Kluyveromyces lactis: one gene and its partner. The protein of the gene in region 2 purifies or fractionates together with the protein of the main gene of each other region. This does not show direct contact. Links are inferred from orthologs where the notes say so. Each region holds a gene or a part of one and is shown on either strand. Other genes may lie near its edges.

Evidence for each region.
Region 1: the proteins of TUS1 (region 2) and IPP1 purify together in Saccharomyces cerevisiae (affinity purification with mass spectrometry; 3 studies listed by BioGRID). This does not show direct contact. The link is inferred for Kluyveromyces lactis from reciprocal best matches to the Saccharomyces cerevisiae genes TUS1 and IPP1.

The regions. Positions count from the first base shown.
Region 1 is NC_006041.1:1,566,850-1,575,272, forward strand, and holds IPP1 (inorganic diphosphatase IPP1), read right to left. Parts: upstream 3,385-8,423; coding exon 2,401-3,384; downstream 1-2,400. Other genes in the region: HHF1 (histone H4), read right to left, coding at 1-135; HHT1 (histone H3), read left to right, coding at 965-1,375; phosphoribosylanthranilate isomerase TRP1, read left to right, coding at 1,689-2,321; APC11 (anaphase promoting complex subunit 11), read right to left, coding at 4,169-4,657; KLLA0_E17733g (glutaredoxin), read right to left, coding at 4,875-5,510; alpha-1,2-mannosyltransferase MNN2, read right to left, coding at 6,136-8,052.
Region 2 is NC_006040.1:219,582-229,351, forward strand, and holds TUS1 (Rho family guanine nucleotide exchange factor TUS1), read right to left. Parts: upstream 4,673-9,770; coding exon 686-4,672; downstream 1-685. Other genes in the region: TDA5 (Tda5p), read right to left, coding at 1-5, 101-201; CYB2 (L-lactate dehydrogenase (cytochrome)), read right to left, coding at 5,901-7,670; palmitoyltransferase YKT6, read right to left, coding at 8,983-9,585. UniProt on the Saccharomyces cerevisiae protein: Guanine nucleotide-exchange factor (GEF) for RHO1 that stimulates the exchange of RHO1 GDP-bound form into GTP-bound form. Required for signaling of cell wall defects to RHO1.

The DNA of each region.
Region 1 (8,423 bases), on a different chromosome or scaffold from region 2:
CTTAACACCACCTCTTCTTGCTAATCTTCTGATAGCTGGCTTTGTAATACCTTGGATGTTATCTCTAAGAATCTTTCTGTGACGCTTAGCACCACCTTTACCTAGACCTTTACCACCTTTACCTCTACCGGACATTGTATATATTGATTTGAACTTTGTTTGTTTGTGCTGTTTAGGATTCTATTGTTGAATGAACAACTTTACAGACATACCAGGAAAATATCCAATCCAAATGATTGAGCCCTTTTATATACTTTAGATCAGGTTACGTTCTGTTTTTGCCCCTTTCTTTTCAAAATCCAGGAATAGACAAGATCCCATAGTAATTGAGTGGTGTTGCAATGTATCTGAATGGGTCTCAAATAACATGCTGTACCATACCGGTACCGTAACTTCACATCTGGCTGGTGGTATATGTGAAATTACAATCACGGACCATCTCTTTGTGGGATTTACAGGTTACCCGGAGGGTAACACCCACTCACCACATAATTTAACACTCAGTTTTCAATTTTCTTGGTATACTTTATATTAGACAAACCAAAACAAACTGCCTTGTACCACAGGTTTCGCGTCTGAGATGCGAAGTGCAGAGCACGCCACTCGTGGCTAGAAACCCAGGTCGATTTCTTACGGAAACGGGGCCGTCGCATTTACTATGGACTTTTGCGATGGCAGGAGGAGAGAAATGAATAGACACATCCCAGAAGGGGAAGTAGGATGAGACCAATTTTTTCTTTTGCGGAAATTGTGTGAAACTCTGGGAATGAGAACAGGACATGAACCAGAAGTGACAGGAGACTAGTGCACCAGTGCCTCAAGTTTTTTAAGCCCCTTGTTTTCAACTATATAAAAGGCTTGATCTTGAGAATTATCTTTTTCACCTATTACAGTTTGAATTATATTAATTCTGATTTACTGTTAATATTGGCATAAAACATCCAAGACAGTATAATCACACACAATGGCTAGAACCAAGCAAACAGCAAGAAAGTCTACTGGTGGTAAAGCCCCAAGAAAACAACTAGCCTCCAAGGCTGCTAGAAAATCCGCTCCATCTACTGGTGGTGTTAAGAAGCCTCACAGATATAAGCCAGGTACCGTTGCCTTGAGAGAAATCAGAAGATTCCAAAAATCTACTGAACTTTTGATCAGAAAGTTGCCATTCCAAAGATTGGTCAGAGAAATTGCTCAAGATTTCAAGACTGACTTGAGATTCCAATCTTCTGCGATCGGTGCTTTGCAAGAATCCGTCGAAGCCTACTTGGTCTCTTTGTTCGAAGACACTAACTTGGCTGCTATCCACGCTAAGAGAGTCACTATCCAAAAGAAGGACATCAAGTTGGCCAGAAGACTAAGAGGTGAAAGATCTTAATTAGATACTTTTCCTCTTTTCAAATGGTTTTCTTTTTTTCAAGTTTCTTTCTCCCCCTTCACTTCTTCCATGTTTGATACATGATTGCATGGTATCACTACACACATCCCATATACCCCGGTATCTCTCACTGAACAAATAATAATGGTATTTTATGTATAAACTCAAATCCTTTATTCTTTATTTTTGTATAATAGTAATATCAATTTTAATATAAGGTTATTTCATTGAAAAATTGAACTATCAAACATCAGTTTACTAATCATTTACTTGGGTACTCTGAGCGAGCTACCCTCTTGCGAAATCTACTGTGATGCTCGTTAAAGTGTGTGGTTTGCAAACCGTTGAAGCTGCAAAGACTGCTGTGGATGATGGTGCTGATTACTTAGGTATCATTTGTGTTCCCGGTAGGAAAAGAACCATTGACTCATCTGTTGCGAAAGGTATTTCAACTGCAGTTCACCAACAAGAGAACGTGAAAGGTACTAAACTAGTCGGGGTGTTTAGAAATCAGTCCGTTGATGATGTCCTTCAACTGTACCACGAATATAATCTAGATGTGATACAATTACATGGAGATGAAGATATTAAAGAATACAGATCTTTGATCCCATCTTCAATTCCAATCATTAAGAGGTTCCAGTTCCCACAGGATTGTGAATTACTACTGGACCTGTATGAACACGTAGACAATGTGCTGACGTTGTTCGATTCTGGTGAAGGTGGCACTGGTGAGAAATTGAATTGGAGTGCAATTTCCAGTTGGTCTGCAAGTCATCCCGAGATAAAATTCATTATCGCTGGTGGATTGAATCCTGATAACGTTTCTGTTGCCATTAATATGTTACCAAATGCGATCGGTGTCGATGTAAGTGGAGGAGTAGAGACTGATGGTATCAAGGATTTAGAAAAGGTAAAGCTATTCATCCAGCAGGCCTCTCAATAGAGGAAAAAACGTATCTTTCTTCAATTACACATACGTATATATAAATTGATATATATATAGTGAATGATCGTTCCACTTTTTAAGCAGAACCGGAGATGAAGAACCATTTGTCAATGGACTTGTCGATTGGTTCATCTGGCAAGACGTTAGCAGCTGGAACAGCAGAGGCAGCTTCGGCTGAGTAAGTAGCAGTGTCAGACAAAGTGGTGTTAGTCAAGTCGATCTTCTTGGCATCAGCAGACTTACCAGAAATCAACTTCTTCCAGGCTTCGTTACATTCTCTGATGACGTCCAAGGTGTACTTCTTGTTCTTGGCTTCACCGGAGAAGGCAAATTGGTTTTCTGGCTTACCATCTGGGATCTTGTAGATTCTGAACCATTCATTGGTGGCTCTCAACAAACCTGGTAAATGCTTTTCAACATCTTCGATGTCGTTCAACTTAGGAGCCAATGGATCGTTAATATCGATGGCAATGACCTTCCAGTCAGTTTCACCTTCGTCCAACAATGCCATAACACCAAGAACCTTGACTTGTTTCACTTGACCAGTGTAAGCAACTTGCTCACCGATTTCCAAGACATCCAATGGATCGTTGTCACCAACAGCCTTAGTCTCTGGGTGAGATTCGTTTGGATCTTCCCATGTTTGTGGGAAGGCACCGTAGTTGTGAATGTAACCGTGATGTGGGAAACAGTTTCTAACAAATCTTAACTTACCCTTCTTGGTGTCTTGAATAATTGGGTTCAATGGCTCTTCCTTGGTAATTTCCAACTTGGCATTGGTCCAACGTGGAATTTCAACAACCATGTTGAAGATACCATTGGCTTCATCAGCATACAATGGGATGTCGTGGAAAGCAGAAATTGGCTTACCATCCTTTTCAATGTAAACCTTGTAATCCAAGGAATTCTTGGCACCAACTTGTCTAGTAGTGTAACTCATCGTGTCCGGTGTATATATACGTTTGGCGGGGGGTATATAAGGCTGTATATCAATTGAAGAACCTAAGATCATATATATGGCGTCAGTGGCCAATGGTAAACCAGTGCAGGCATTTTTCATTCCTATTTATATATGAATTTTGCAACTTTTTTTTCCTCAGGTCGTCCACTTTGAGAGAACGACAGGATGGAAAAGAAGCAGATTGGTGCTTGAAGAAGCGATAGTTTAGGAAGTGGCTGATTCTGTGTTCGTGTGTAGGTGTGCTAGGGTATACATTAGGGTCTGTATATATTTGGTCCGATTGTATACAGTTGCAGTTGCATAGTGTATTTTTTTTAAAGTCATTGGGTTTAATCATGCTTCTCTCTTTGTAGTAACAGAGTTTCACATTAGGGGAAAATCACGTGATAAGAGTGCTTTTGGGGAAAAGCCACACGATAGGTACCGCATGGTCGTGGCTTGCTGAAACGGTAGGTCAACGTACAATCGACGTGTGTACTGACGAACAAACATTGACTGCAACACGATACCATTTTACAATAGTATACTGGTTAGCTTATCGCCCTTTTTTATTGAACCAGTGGTTGTGTATTCTCACATGAGCTTGATCATCTGATTGTAAAAGTATCAGGTGTAGTTGTTTTTCTTACCCCATCAAACAAGAAATTAACAGCTTCTATGGCCAAGTTGGTAAGGCGCCACACTAGTAATGTGGAGATCATCAGTTCGACTCTGGTTGGAAGCATTTTCTTTTTTGTCTCATGTGAGCAAGAGACACCACCTGTAATATGGCCTCGCTACCTAGTATACTTAGCCCATCACTGATGATTTGAACCACTACTCTATCCTATTACCAATTAAATAGATGTACACACACATATCTTCAGCATATCGAGTCTTCCCTTCATCGTATGAAGCCATCATCCATCACATCTTGATCTATTTCACCACCACCCATCGGAATGTTGTGCTGTCTCACACTCATCAACAGTTTCTGGAACTCATCATGGTGCATCTTATTTATCAGAACGTTAGGCCTCAACTGGAATCCTTGTCTACACAAGGGACACAACCCTTTTGATGTTTCAGTACTTAGCCATTGCTTGATACAATGAACATGGAAATTATGATTGCATAATCCTAACACAATTGGACATCCGCTACCAGGGTAATCACAGGAGGGGCAAGTAGCATCGTACCGGTTACGACAGATCCCACACACTTCATATTCTTCTTCATCGTTCTCTGCATCCTCATCTTCATTCTGTATATCTTCCCATTTTTCCATATGTACCGTTTGATCTGCAACACCATGTTTCCCTTTCGATAAATCCTTGGGAATATCCCACGCCCAAGTGCTCACTAGACTGACATCTGTTACCTCTATACGCATAGTAACACGGGTGAAGTATCCTTATCGCAGGCTTTATCCTCGTCACAGTTCCCTTCGTTCTGTCTTTGTGTTTTCAATTCTTCCTATCTAATCCTTTCTTATAATATATTATACCCATATGCATAAAAGTGTCACAGGTTCTATTACAAATTTAATAAAGGGATCAGATCCACTGTAGTATAGTATACGAATGTTTATATATGTTATAGGCCAAGTTTTAAGTCGCAGCAGCAGCTTTCTTCACGGATAAAGTAGATCCGGCCCATGTCTTCAAGCTCTGTAATAATGAATTATCCTCATGTAATCCAGCAAATTCATCGCTACCACCACGAGATATACCATTGATAATAACGTTAGGAACAGTAGACCTTCCTGTCTTGCTACCGATATATTTCTGTAGTTCAGCTCCATTCTCATGCTTATCCAATTCAACGATAGTATAAATTGGATCAAATTCATACTCCTTCAACAAGTTCTTGAGCCTCGTACTGAAAGGACAGTAACTCTTAGAAAACACCACGATTGGTGATTGAGAAAGGATATTCTTGTACTCAGCTTCAGCGTTGTATGTTTCTACTTCAGCAGCGAAATCAGAGTCTTTCACACCGTTGGGCCCAGCCATATTTTTAACTGCGTTGCTGGTATCAGCAACAACCGCGTTACTCTTGGTTTCAGCAATACCTTCTTGGATATTGTTGATGTCACTCTCGACCTTGGCATCATTCGCGAGGTTGCTAGATTCTTTCCCCACGTAAGAACGCGTCACGGACTCTGCATTGTGCCTGATGAAGAAAAGAACGAAAATCACCATACCGGTGAGACTTACCAGCCTCAAACTTCTCTTACTCAACATCTCGTTTCAACAACGCCTGGGATCTGATAATCTATGAAAGTGTAGACAGACGGTGTGTCCAAAATCTAACGTGTCTTGTTCATATTGTTTCATCATTTTAAGGTTGTATGTGACAAGAACCAATTTCTTAAATAGCAAGAAATTTCACTATTTCATTCTTGACCAACAGCCGTATCATCGATAAATAAGAGAGAACTAAAGAAACAGGGGAAAGGATGGAATACCTATGGGTTTGCCGGACGCATTAAAGCATAAATAGTGTATAAATAATACTAGATACCACCCGCTATCCTGAATATATGCATATTTATATTTAAAACGGAAAATTTACTGGAAACATAACGCGTAAGATTTTAATTTGCGGGCAGATTAGATGTTGTTGAATTAATGATTGTTTTTATAAATATTATAGTATGATATGCGGTAAAGTCTGTATTAGAATTAAAATGAACGATAAGATCAGTTGTTAAAACAGTATTCTAAACTTCAATTAAAGAACAATCAGGAAAGAAAATTAGAAAGAACATGAAAAAGAACATGCAGTTGTAATATGTTTGATGCTGGGAACGCTTCGGCCCATCGTCAATTTATGACTTTGTAATTATTTTTGTCTTTCCTTTCAGAGTTAAAATCTTCCTTCCATGGCTTCTGAGTGACTTTCTATTAGGTAAACTAATCTTTCATTTACGTAGTTGCAAATGATGCCCCAATTAGATTCTAGTTTAACTGCTTTCTCGAAGTATTTAAAGTGTACCCTTTTATCACAGACATACTCTTTGAAAGTTTTGAACACTTCTAATTCAAGATCGTATCCGTTCATTCTTTTCAAGTTTCTGTAAGATCTGATATGCTTACCATCCTGAATCAAATCCTGAGATAATGCAAGTTCAACGGGGTCGAATTTCGGTAGATGGGAATGAACAAACATCACATCGACCGGATCATTTGTGAAATACTTACCGAGGTAATTTTCTTGATAATTATACTTTGGATCGTAGTCATCGGGTTCGTTTGTATATTTGGTTCCGATTTCGTTTTGAGCTTGACGATACCTTTTGTAATCCTGGGCGAAATCGTGCTGTAACATACAAACGCCGCGGAAACCCTCGTTATTATGCCTATGATACCCATCAACACGGGGTTCAGAACGTACTTGGTAGAAGGGCAAGTCATAGAAATGAGCCGCAGCGATGAACGTTTCCTTGTCACCTTCACCTGAGGAACGCTGAGAGAAGATAGAATAGTACCACGATGGCCCGTAAACGTTATAGTATAACGATAGTAAAACCGTTGGAAAATGTTTCAGTTTGTTGATCATCAATTGACCCGATTCAGTGGAAGCATCTGGAATAGTTCCATCAAGATCATGTAGCGGAACGTCAGACAAATCTTTCAAATCCTTGGTATAGACTGAAGGCGGAGTGACATCGTCCATGGTGTTACGGATTCTTTCGCTTGAGATAGGTGTATTAGCAATACTATAGTATGATGGATGTGTGGTACGTCTCCAGAAGTCAGGCCATAGGATAAGACCAGTATCCTTATAGGATTTTTCTTCAAAGATCCCATCCAATGGTTTGATTGGGAAATTGTCTGCGTCTAGTAATAGCAAATTCTTGAAGCTGGATGCGATGATAGCCAATGATTTGAATTGATAACCTTTGAAATCGGATTTTTCTATCAAGTCAGGTGGGAAAGCATCTGACAGATAGATACACTTAGCGTTATACTGAGGTAACAAGACGTTACAGAATTCGTCGTCACCTTCATCACTAGGGGGGATGAAAACTTCTACTGGTAAAGTTGTGCCGAAATTTCTTACCGTTTTAATGATAAGGAAAGCCATCATCGAAAATTTACCACCACCAACTGTCACTATACCGTCTCCACTATACGTATCCTTGGGCAACACTAATTTACTCAATGCATGAACGTAATTTGAATGGGCCTCTTTTAACATCAGCCGTTGTTCTTGAGAAAGTTGCAAACAGTTGTTCAACTCTTCAGTGGTAAGTTTCCACCACTGGTCTGTGTTCTCTTGCCTATACCCAATATCACCGTTCAAACTACATTTTTGGTTATAAGTAGCAATATTAACTCCAACAGGACCAAATTCCTTCAAATACTTGAAAACTTGACCATAAAACCCTTGGACCTGTTTCTTCTTTGAACTGGGGGTAGAACTTGCGCCAACGTTATCCTTTACAACACCATCATTATTATTTTCGTTATAATAGTTATTATTATTTTTTATTTTATCGCCATTGATCTTGTTATTACTATCACCATTGGTATTGGTCTGTGATCCTTGCTTGTCACCCTGCTGTTGGCTCGCTTCCTGTCTCGCATCATCGTACGAAGAGCCTGTATCCTCATACTCTTCAATGAACTGCTGGGTATACTCTTTCAATGAACTTGTATAATCATTGGTTGCAATTTCAGATTTCAAATAAACATGGATACTGTTCAACACCACGACTGCTAAAGCAAACGCAACAACCACTTTGAACACTTTCTGGAAACGTTTCGTAGTAAACACCATAACAGACGTAAAAAAAAAATTTGATGAATGTTATTCCGTCTGATGAGCTTGGCAACTATTTCCCGTATTATTTCTTATTTCAATCGATGAGAAACGCTGTAAGAACAAAAAAAAAAGTGTATTAAGCACTCGCCAACCACTAACAAAGCCAATAATCAAAGCGAACGCGTAAGGACTCGAATATCGACCTCAAAATTGAAAACAACTTGTCAGTTAAGTTTCTAAATAACAACAAAACAAAAAAAAATTTGTATTGGACCCTTAAAATCCAACACAGGAACAAACCACAAATAAGATGAAACGTGGATTGTATGAGAATACCTGTACCTACAGCTAAATATCAACCTTACCACGCATTAAAAAACGCGCTT
Region 2 (9,770 bases):
GTAATCTGTTAACTCAGTATCAATGGTAACTCATTGCTTGTTAGTATACCTATTTTCATGTCCAAGTATATCTTTCCCGTAAGTGCTCATCTCAACATACTTTTCAACCAGGATTAAAGGTAGAACTGGGTATCTAATTAACGGCTGTAAGGTTTCCCATAACGTGTCGACATTTTGTATCCATGTAGTACTACCTTGCATACTGAAGTTCTTCATGCCCTTACGATACAGCACTCATGAGTTAAGAATTTCCAATCTGCTAAGAATAAGTAAAGTGTCGATATTTGAATAGATCAAGTTTTCTGTCAGACCAACTCAATTTATAGGAAACAAATGACACACAAAAAGCGATCATCAGACCATGACACAAAAACTTTCCTTCGCCCTAAGTTGATTGTTTTATTCTATAATGGGTTATTTATTGACAATGGTGGTTTTATTTAAGAATTATTCAATCATACAACTAAATTTGCTATTATGAAGAAAGTATTGATATAATTCACTTATTAAAGATAAACAAGGAAATAATTGCAACTCCATGAGAGTAAGTGTGGGTGTTACAATGAAAGGTTCTTTACTACATAAACGTTTATAATACTGATTTCGCAGGGTTGTATGTGGAGATATTACCATGTTACTTCGGAATCATACTCAATGTACCTTGGCATCAACTAGCGAGCCTTTTTTAAACTGATAGGTTAAAGTGCAAGAGTAGCTGTCTTCCTGCAATGTTCGGGTGGGTCAATACTATACTTGTGCAATCCTGTGAAGTGTCAGTAATCTTAATTTTCTTGCCCTTGATAATTTGAACGGGTTTGATTGTGTTAAGTGCCCATTCTCCGGTGTCTACGAAACGTAAGTTGTACACCTGTACAAGATTATCACCTGCAAGTATGAGGTGACCAAGGTTTAAGGACACGCCTATGCAATAGAAATCTAATACAAGAATATCCTTTTTCCAATCCGGAATTTCCCCAAACTTATTGATTCGTATAATGGCTTCATCATAGCATATGATAAAGTTGTTTGGATCAATTCGAAAACAGGCTATAGGTTTAGTTTTCTTAGATAAAATATCTGACTTAACGTATTCAGCCATCTTCATCGTTGATGAGTTATTCTTTGATTTAGATTCAGTTTGCTTCCTAAATGACAAATGGTTAAGCTTTAACTTTGAAGTATCAGTGAGCGTAGTGGGTAAAAAAGCGCCTTCTTCATTGAACGAGTCTGAGTACAAGATAGCACCCTTGGAGGAGCAAACGATAAAACTGTTTCTTAATATGGTAATATCGGATACCGTCGAAGCTGTTAATCCGCTACTGCTAACGGGTATTTTGTAGCTCTTGTAATGCTTGAAAAATTTGAATACTTTCGTTAACGGATCAAACTCGGGAGTCATTATAATGATTTCACCTTTTCGTTCGTAAAACAGATGCCTGGAATTGCTGAAGTCTTCTGCCATTTTAAAAAATGTGATCTTCTCCTGGATGATGATCCCCACAATTCTGTTGTCAGGTAAATATTGTTCAGAATCGTAAAATGCTGATATTAAACTGGGTATGTTGAAATAGCATAACTTCCTGTCAGCAAGAAGGAAAAGCAAGCCTAACTTTGTGCTTATTTCCATCTTTGTCACTTTGGAAAAGTTGAGTATGCGTTTCCATTGGTGCAGTAATCTTGGCAATGTGATGTATACCCCGTGGTTTACGCTGCAAAGTAAAAATGTCTCATTCTCATATTGAAACGATACTGAGCATAAGATGTCACCTTTCATAGACGCGAAAGTTTTTGGTGAGTTCACACTGTAGAATTCCTTCATCGCAGAGCTAACAGCGGACCCTTCTGGCTCTAATGGTAAATTAGTAGGCGCCTGAATCTCATCGTAAGAAAACAGATCACAGAGACATTGTAATTGAAACGCCTGTTTTTCGTTGTGACCCATATGATTCTGGAATGCCTTCACCAGCGAGGCAACCCAGTGTTCTCGTTCTTCCATGGTTGAGGTTGAAAATGTATGAGATTCGTTAGACGCAGTATTCCTAATCTTGAATGAATAAGAAGATTCTTCATTATCGTCATTGTTTAAAGTAGCGTTGGTAGCAGTTTGGTATATCGTCTTCGGTATAGAGCTCATTGTTGTTCCAGCAGGTAAAAGTGGAGGCTTCTTTGACGTAGACGGCGTTTGGACATTGCAAGATTCTTCATCAGCATCTGACAATGATTTTCTTTTATAGTTAATGTCCTCCTTTGTTTCAACACTCAAATAATCAATGGGTATGGGTCTTTCTATTAGCTTATATTTCTTCCCTGATCCTTTGAATATTTCTTCAGTGATCAGAAAATAATTGTCCAATAAAAAGACATAGACAGGGGCACTCTCAAGCCATAGTTCTCTTTTCTTCTGTAATATACCTTGCATTATTAGCTTCCTGTCACCGTCCCCTAACTTTAAATCAAGATGCTCGTTGTTTGTAGTGAAATTTGACACGGAATCATTACCAGACTGTATGTTAAGGTAGTTGACAGTGTTGCCTGTCTTAGATGTAAAAATCAATTGACGAGCTAGTCTGACTATCTTACGTTTATCTATCGCATCACCATGGGCTTTATCTACTAATCTTGATAGTTGTTCAATCTCTTGAATTGCCATACGTAAGTATTCGTGATCATCCATTGATGGATCAGTACACTTCAATACAGATCTGAGTGTTACTGGCATATTTTGTAAAGATTTGAAAAATCCACCAAAAAAGATAACGTCGTGGTAAAGTTTAGATCTGGTTATTGGAGTTGACTCATCGATTTGCCTCAACCAAGATGCAAACCGGGTATTATTTTCCTTTTCCCAATTGATTATTTCGTGGACAGTAGCCATATTTTGCGCATACTTCACATACACCTGTTTAGCATCATTTGCCCACTTTAAATATATCTTGCCAACTCCATCAATGAATTTACCTTTTATTTTAAGTTTCCAAAGGATAGGGCTCAAAAGAATATCCTTATGTAACTCTATCAATGGAATGAATATATCATATGCCATCGACTTAAAATTTGGGTCATCCGGTAAAAGAGCCGGATCAAAAGAGGCCCCATATATCTCTACTGCTGCATTAGCGAGGTTTAATGATCTTTCCTCTAGCACTATTAGATCAAATATGAAACTCTGGCGTTTAACTTCCTTAGGATTAATCTCAGATAATTCTTCGGGAGTCAATTTCCAGTAATCGGTCCATAGCCCCACTGACTTGTTGATGAATTCTGAGATTTTAAGCTGTGACCTGTAATTCTCTGATCCTTTTGAGCTCCAGCAGGTGTATGAATAGCACTTCAAATCCGTAGTAGGATCATCATATATATGAGAATAAGAGTAACAGGGCAATAAATCCGTAAAAACCCCTTGAGTATCAAGCCCCGCAATGATGATGGTGATTTGGTTCCCAGTTTCCGGATCGTCTTCGAATCGCACAGCACCTTGTAAGATAAGCGATTCAATAATTTTGTCCACGTTCGAATCAATGATATCTTGCTCGCAAGAATTTGGTAGCTGGAATTCCAACAGTAATTGAACAATTTGAAAGAATTCCAATTTACCGAAAACGTATTCATTAAACCATTCGAAGTATACTTTCAAGAGCCACTGGTATATGTGTGACAATTGGCTAATGTTGTAGCACTGGTAAAGTTTTCTTTCATCCAAAAGGTCGATCGTGAAGGGGTATGTTGGCACTGTAATGCTAGCCACATTATTCAGTGGTTTACTCCCAGTGATTGAACCGAACGATTCATGTCTAGCATATTCTTCCACGTTTTTATTGAAAGCGTAGCTCGAATTGGAATAATAACTACTGATTGAGTCTGAAAGTCTTGGTTCATTAGGCCCTATTGCTCCATTACTAACATCTTTCATCTTCGGAGGTTGTGGATAGTATAAAGTTGTGTTTTGTAAACTACTTTTATCCGAAGTGGACCAGTTGAAATTTCCTGTCGATATTGGAGAAATGGCATCCAGCGCAGGGAGCGTTTCTGGAACTGCCATATCATTATAACGGTGTTCAACGGGCCCCGTAAACTGCAGTGTACTACTAGATGTTGCAGTAGTCTTTGTTGCCGCGTTAATAGGGCCGGAGAACGTTCGTGGGGGTAGTGCCGGCAGAGCTTTCATTGTGATATCTTTCGAATCCGAACTAGCGAACCCTTCAAACTCAATATTTGGCATCGTTACATTATTGGTGAATATACTTGAAGTTGAAGAAGAAGACAGCCTATTATTATTATAATTATTATTATCTGATTGTGAAGCTGGACTATCGCTATTATTGCTGAAACTGCTATTTGGAAGAGTTTCAGGTGACCGAAACACAGATGGATCACCAACGAAAGGCGATATATACACTTTCGGAGCAGGCGCCCTCTTTTCACTCACACTTACCTCTGTGACAAAAGGAGATGAATAAAGGTGCTGTTGGTCAATCTGAGGCTGCTGCTTTTCACTTGATCTAGACGGTACGACGGTGAAAGATGATCCAGATGTAGGAGTCACAGGGCTCGTCAGTATTGGAGGAGGAGGCCTCCTCCTCCTCTCATTATTCCCAACTTTCTTGGGAGTAGATTGTTGACTCTGCAAAGGCGGTAACGCCGGTAATCTAGGAGATCGTTGTGTACTGTCCATTACTCAAAATGATACTGTTGAAATGAATTGCAATACTTTGATAAAGGTAAACTTGTATTCATAAAGCCAGAAAGTGAAAGCTTCGTGTATATAAGCTAAATTGATACGCGAGTAGCAACGAACGCAGTGGGAGATATCAGTTTGGGGCCTTTCACAATAAAGTATTCATCTGTCCACCCCATCATCTATTTACATAGTAGCTACAACATTATATTTGTTAATAACAATAAGTTGTTCCTACGATTTGTCGTTACCATTACAAAGGGAAGGGAAGCAAATTGAAGAAAACAGAAAACTGCAACATCACAGTTTCGAACGGTTAACTACCTGTTTCTTATTTGTTTCCCTTCTGTTTCCCTTTCTAATTGTTTCTCACTTCCTATGTCGACGGCTGAACGAAAAAAGATGGAACCCCGAAACGTTCGCCCGGAAACCGTCGTTGCGAAGCATAATTACTGCTCAGAAGGAACTCTCGACGAATGCATCTCCAGAACTGTACGCTACTGAGCAGGCTATTGGAAAGACGTTAATATGAAGGTTTGAAGGGCTTACATGAATGTGGGACAACGGAAGGCACACCTGGGGCTCCCTTTCTTAGCGTGAGAGAGGATGATGCAATTTTGTGTCACGTGAATCATTTCTTTTTCTCATAGTTCCTACGTACCTGACTACAACAAAGTAAGGTTATCATTCCAAAAAGATGACAGCTTTTTCAGTTTGTGATTTCTCGAAATGATTACTACGAGTCATATCAGATGCCATAAGACATCTGCTTGAAAGGAAAGTGCACATTCTGATGTCATGCCTTCTGCAATCGAATCATATTCTACACACAAAATATGTATCAATATCTGCAAGGAATATCTTGTATGTGGTTTTTGGATATATGTATTATCAAACTAAAATAACAAATTAAAACAATTCCTGCGGTTTGAAATAGGACTCTAAACATGACTGAAATTGATTTATTGTTGTGTATCGTCGTAATTTGAATTGAATGTCAACGGGAATTGTATAACTGCGTATTGATTCGCCAATCGTAATAAATAAGTGGACATTGTTTTACTTTTTCGTAAATACCTGCGTGATATTTGTTTTATCTATTCTGGCGCGATTTAGTTTATATAATATATGTTGGAATATTCATTTATAAATTATCATTAAAGAAACGTTCATTAAATAATATGAGTCTTTATGGGTTCGAATGGCAAAAGTGAGATTGCTCTTTTCATTCCTCTAAGAATTGAGTTGGTTCATGTGGGACATATACCTCACGGTATAGGTTATCGCGAGGAACATTGACAGTTCTACCATGGATTGTAGATAGATCTAGGTATTTTTCGGATAATTGGTCTATACTTGTGACACCGAGTAATCTCATCGACATTTCCAATTCGTCCTTTAATAGCTCAATGGCTTTCTTGACACCTTCTTTACCGTAGCAACTGTTAGAGTATAAGAATGGTCTACCTAGACCGACACCCTTGGCACCAAGACACAATGCCTTTAGGATATCGGTACCTCTTCTAACACCACCATCAATGAAAATTTCGATTTTATCATCCAATTTCTTTTCTCTTAGCACTGGCATAGTCTCAGCCAACACTTCGATAGGAGCCCTAGAGAAATCCAATTGTCTACCACCGTGGTTAGATAGAACGACACCTGCAACACCGATTTCAGCAGCTTTCAAGACATCTTCAACACATTGAACACCCTTGATGACGATTGGCAATTTGGTCTTTTTCTTAAATTCGATGATATCATCCCAGTTTAATGCAGGATCAATGAATGACGAGAGAGCTCTAGAAGCACCCTTAGATTCCTTAACCTTACTTTTTTCCATAGCCTTGGCACCGTTTGAGTTTGTAAATTTGACTTTAGCATCTTTTTCTCTGTTACCTAAGGAAGGAGCATCTACTGTAACGAAAATGGCCTTTAATCCTAATTTTTCAACGTTCTTGATTAGATCTTCAGTGATCTTACGGTCACTGTTCACATACAATTGGAACCATTGGATTTGTTCCTTAGATGGGGCTGCTTCCACGATTTCTTGTAAAGAACAAGAAGCCAAAGTGGAAATCATTTGAACAGGTTTCACGTCACTTTCACCGCAACCTCTTGCGATGTCCTTTTCACCTTCCTTGGGGTTACCTAGTTTACACAATGCGGTGGCAGACACATAAAATGGAACACCGACTTTTTCACCTAACATTGTAGTGGAAGTGTCAACTTCCTTAACGTTAACCAAGATTCTTGGCTTGAAGAATATACGATGGTATGCAGCGTGGTTTTCTCTATGTGTAACTTCATCATCAGCGGCAGAAGAGTAGTAAGACCAAGCTTGCTTAGTCAAGATTTGGGATGCCAAGAATTCGAAATCATAGATGTTAACCAAGGAATCAATATCGGGTAAAGATTGACGCAATTGTTCCTTTCTTGCCACATCTTCGGGAGTTTCACCTGGGGTCAATGCAGCACAGACCAAGTCATCAGGCATTGTACCATCTAGTGGACCAATTCTGTTCTCTGGAGCAATGTATTTTTCGATGACATCTGGAGCATGAATTGGAGCAAAGATCTTGGTCACATCTTTTCCTGCGTTGTTCTCAATGATAGCTGGACCACCAGGATGGGCGCTGATGAAATCAGTCAAATTGTATACGTAACCCTCAATGACCACCCAACAGTCTTTGGGAGAAGAGTGCTTTGCGACTTCTGTTGGAGAAACCTTTGGTTTCGTCATATCGACCTTGGCACCATTTTCAACGCTATCATTGAATTGAGAAATCAATGCAATACCAACCGAACCGGCAACAAGAAAGGCACCACCAGTGATGACTTTCTTACCGAACGAAAACGCACTATAGCCAGACTTAGCTGATCTCCCAAAACGCAGAGTAGCACTAGACTTATGAATTGGAGATTTACTACTGGTGCTAGCAAATCTCAACCCACTAACACGGTTCTTACCAAAAACTCTTACGGCTGATCTCATAGTAATGACGATGTTGATACCTAGGGGCTTTGTTTTCTGATTAAAGATTATACCAAACAAATTTAACCTCAACCGCACTATAACCAATTCCCAACTGCGACATAGCTCTACTTATATATATATATATATATATATATATGTTATCTATTGTCTATTACATCTGCATTAAACTCGAACTAGTCATTTTCGTCAACAGCAAATATCGGGCCAACTCTTCGCAAACTCCAGAAATGAATGCCTCTTTCTCTAGTGTGGGATAAAACGCTAAACAGTTTCCACATTCGTGGGTCACATTGAGTTGGAACAAGCGGATCTTCGGATTACCAAGGACGCTTGATCAGTAACAGTACCCCAAGGCTATTTTCATTGACGCACTGGACGTCAACCATACTGTAATTGGTATATATTTGGAATTATATCGGTATAAAAATTGCACGCAACCCACGCGCAATGAGGGAACCCCATTCTCATTCGGCTTTCTGGATGTTCTCTATGGGTCCTGTATTCCCTCAATGTAGGCAAAATTCACTACGCAGTTGCCAGCCGAACAGTTGGAGATCTAAGGTCAGATGGGTCAACAAACCTGCAATAGCGTAGGGAGTCGTAGCAGACGGTAGATAGAACAGTGAAGTGTTCCATAGCTTGACATAGAACACGGAAAACGGTAAAAAGGACGTCTCGAGAGGTTTGCGCATGCATAACGGCATTTTGAACTGAAAAAAAAATTGTAGCGTGGGGAGAAAGCAGACAGGGTGGGTCGGAGAACAGGAAACAGGGCCCGAACTATACCATCGATACGCTAACGATGAGCTTGAGAAAAGCGAGATTCGGAGTGACTTTTGGAGCTGCTGTTTACCTCCTGTATATTATGTGTTTGGGGGGGATAACGCTGTGAGTAAGTACTCCGAATTTAACAGGCAGATAACGTAATATCAGGTGAGCAGGCAATGGTCGGTCTTGGACCTTATGGTATCTTGGACAAAAGACAGCGTCCAGCAAGTAGACTCCGTGGCCAAGCTGGTTAAGGCGTGCGACTGTTAATCGCAAGATCGAGAGTTCAATCCTCTCCGGGGTCGTTTTTTTTGGAGAAAATTTCTTTCAAAATTGATCCGCTGCCCGTACTCAGCCAGATGATGATAGATAAATCAGACCCTAGTGGACAGGAAGGAACGAAAGGCTGATCAAAGGTGGCGGTCAAAACGCCGGTGAAACCTTACTATTACTTTATTTTGATTACTATTATGCTTAATACTCGTAGCAAGGGCTATATATGATCAGGCTGGCCATGTTTTGGCCTCTATTTCAAATCCGTCTACATAACTATACAGCACGAATTGGTTTTCTTTGCTTGCTTATAGAACATCCTCGATGCAGCAGATAGTGATTCGGACTTGTCTACCAAATTGTCCAATTTCTCACCTCTTTGTAATACGTTTTCAATGGTTTTGTGTAGCGTGATCTTGGTCTCGTCTAATTCTTGCTGTACACGCATTATTGCATCAGCTTGAGATGGGTCCTGATACTTGGCAATATAGATATCCAACTCCTTCAACTTGAGCGAATCGTCACTCTCCGTCACGTCCTTCCACTGGATAGGAGGGTGCGCTACCAAATACTCATCCAATACTTTGTTCAACAACGTATAAGCTGGTCTTACTGGGTACTCCTTATCCGTAATCAAAACACCACAAATTCCTTCAGGCCTTGCGTAAACGTGACCTACATAGTTACCTTCTTCAACACTCTGTCTTTGACCAGCACTTGTCCTGCCAGCAACAGTCTCACTGAAAAAGGACATGAACTGTGCAACACTGTTCCTTTCAAAGAACCCAAATTGTGATAAGTCCTTCACAGAACTTAATTCAAGGGTCTTATCATCGCTGTTTCTTAAAACTCCAATGTAATATATCTTCATCCTTGTATCCTGTATCCTGTTTTCTCCCACTTGTCAAATGAGAAAAAAAGCTACTATTTTGCCCAAACTTAACTATTCTTAGATCCCCTATACGTGTACTATAACACTGTCCTTCTCGTCTCCGTGTTATCTTCAAAATACATCATCATTTCCCATCCTCATATCACAATGCTTCAATATCCATT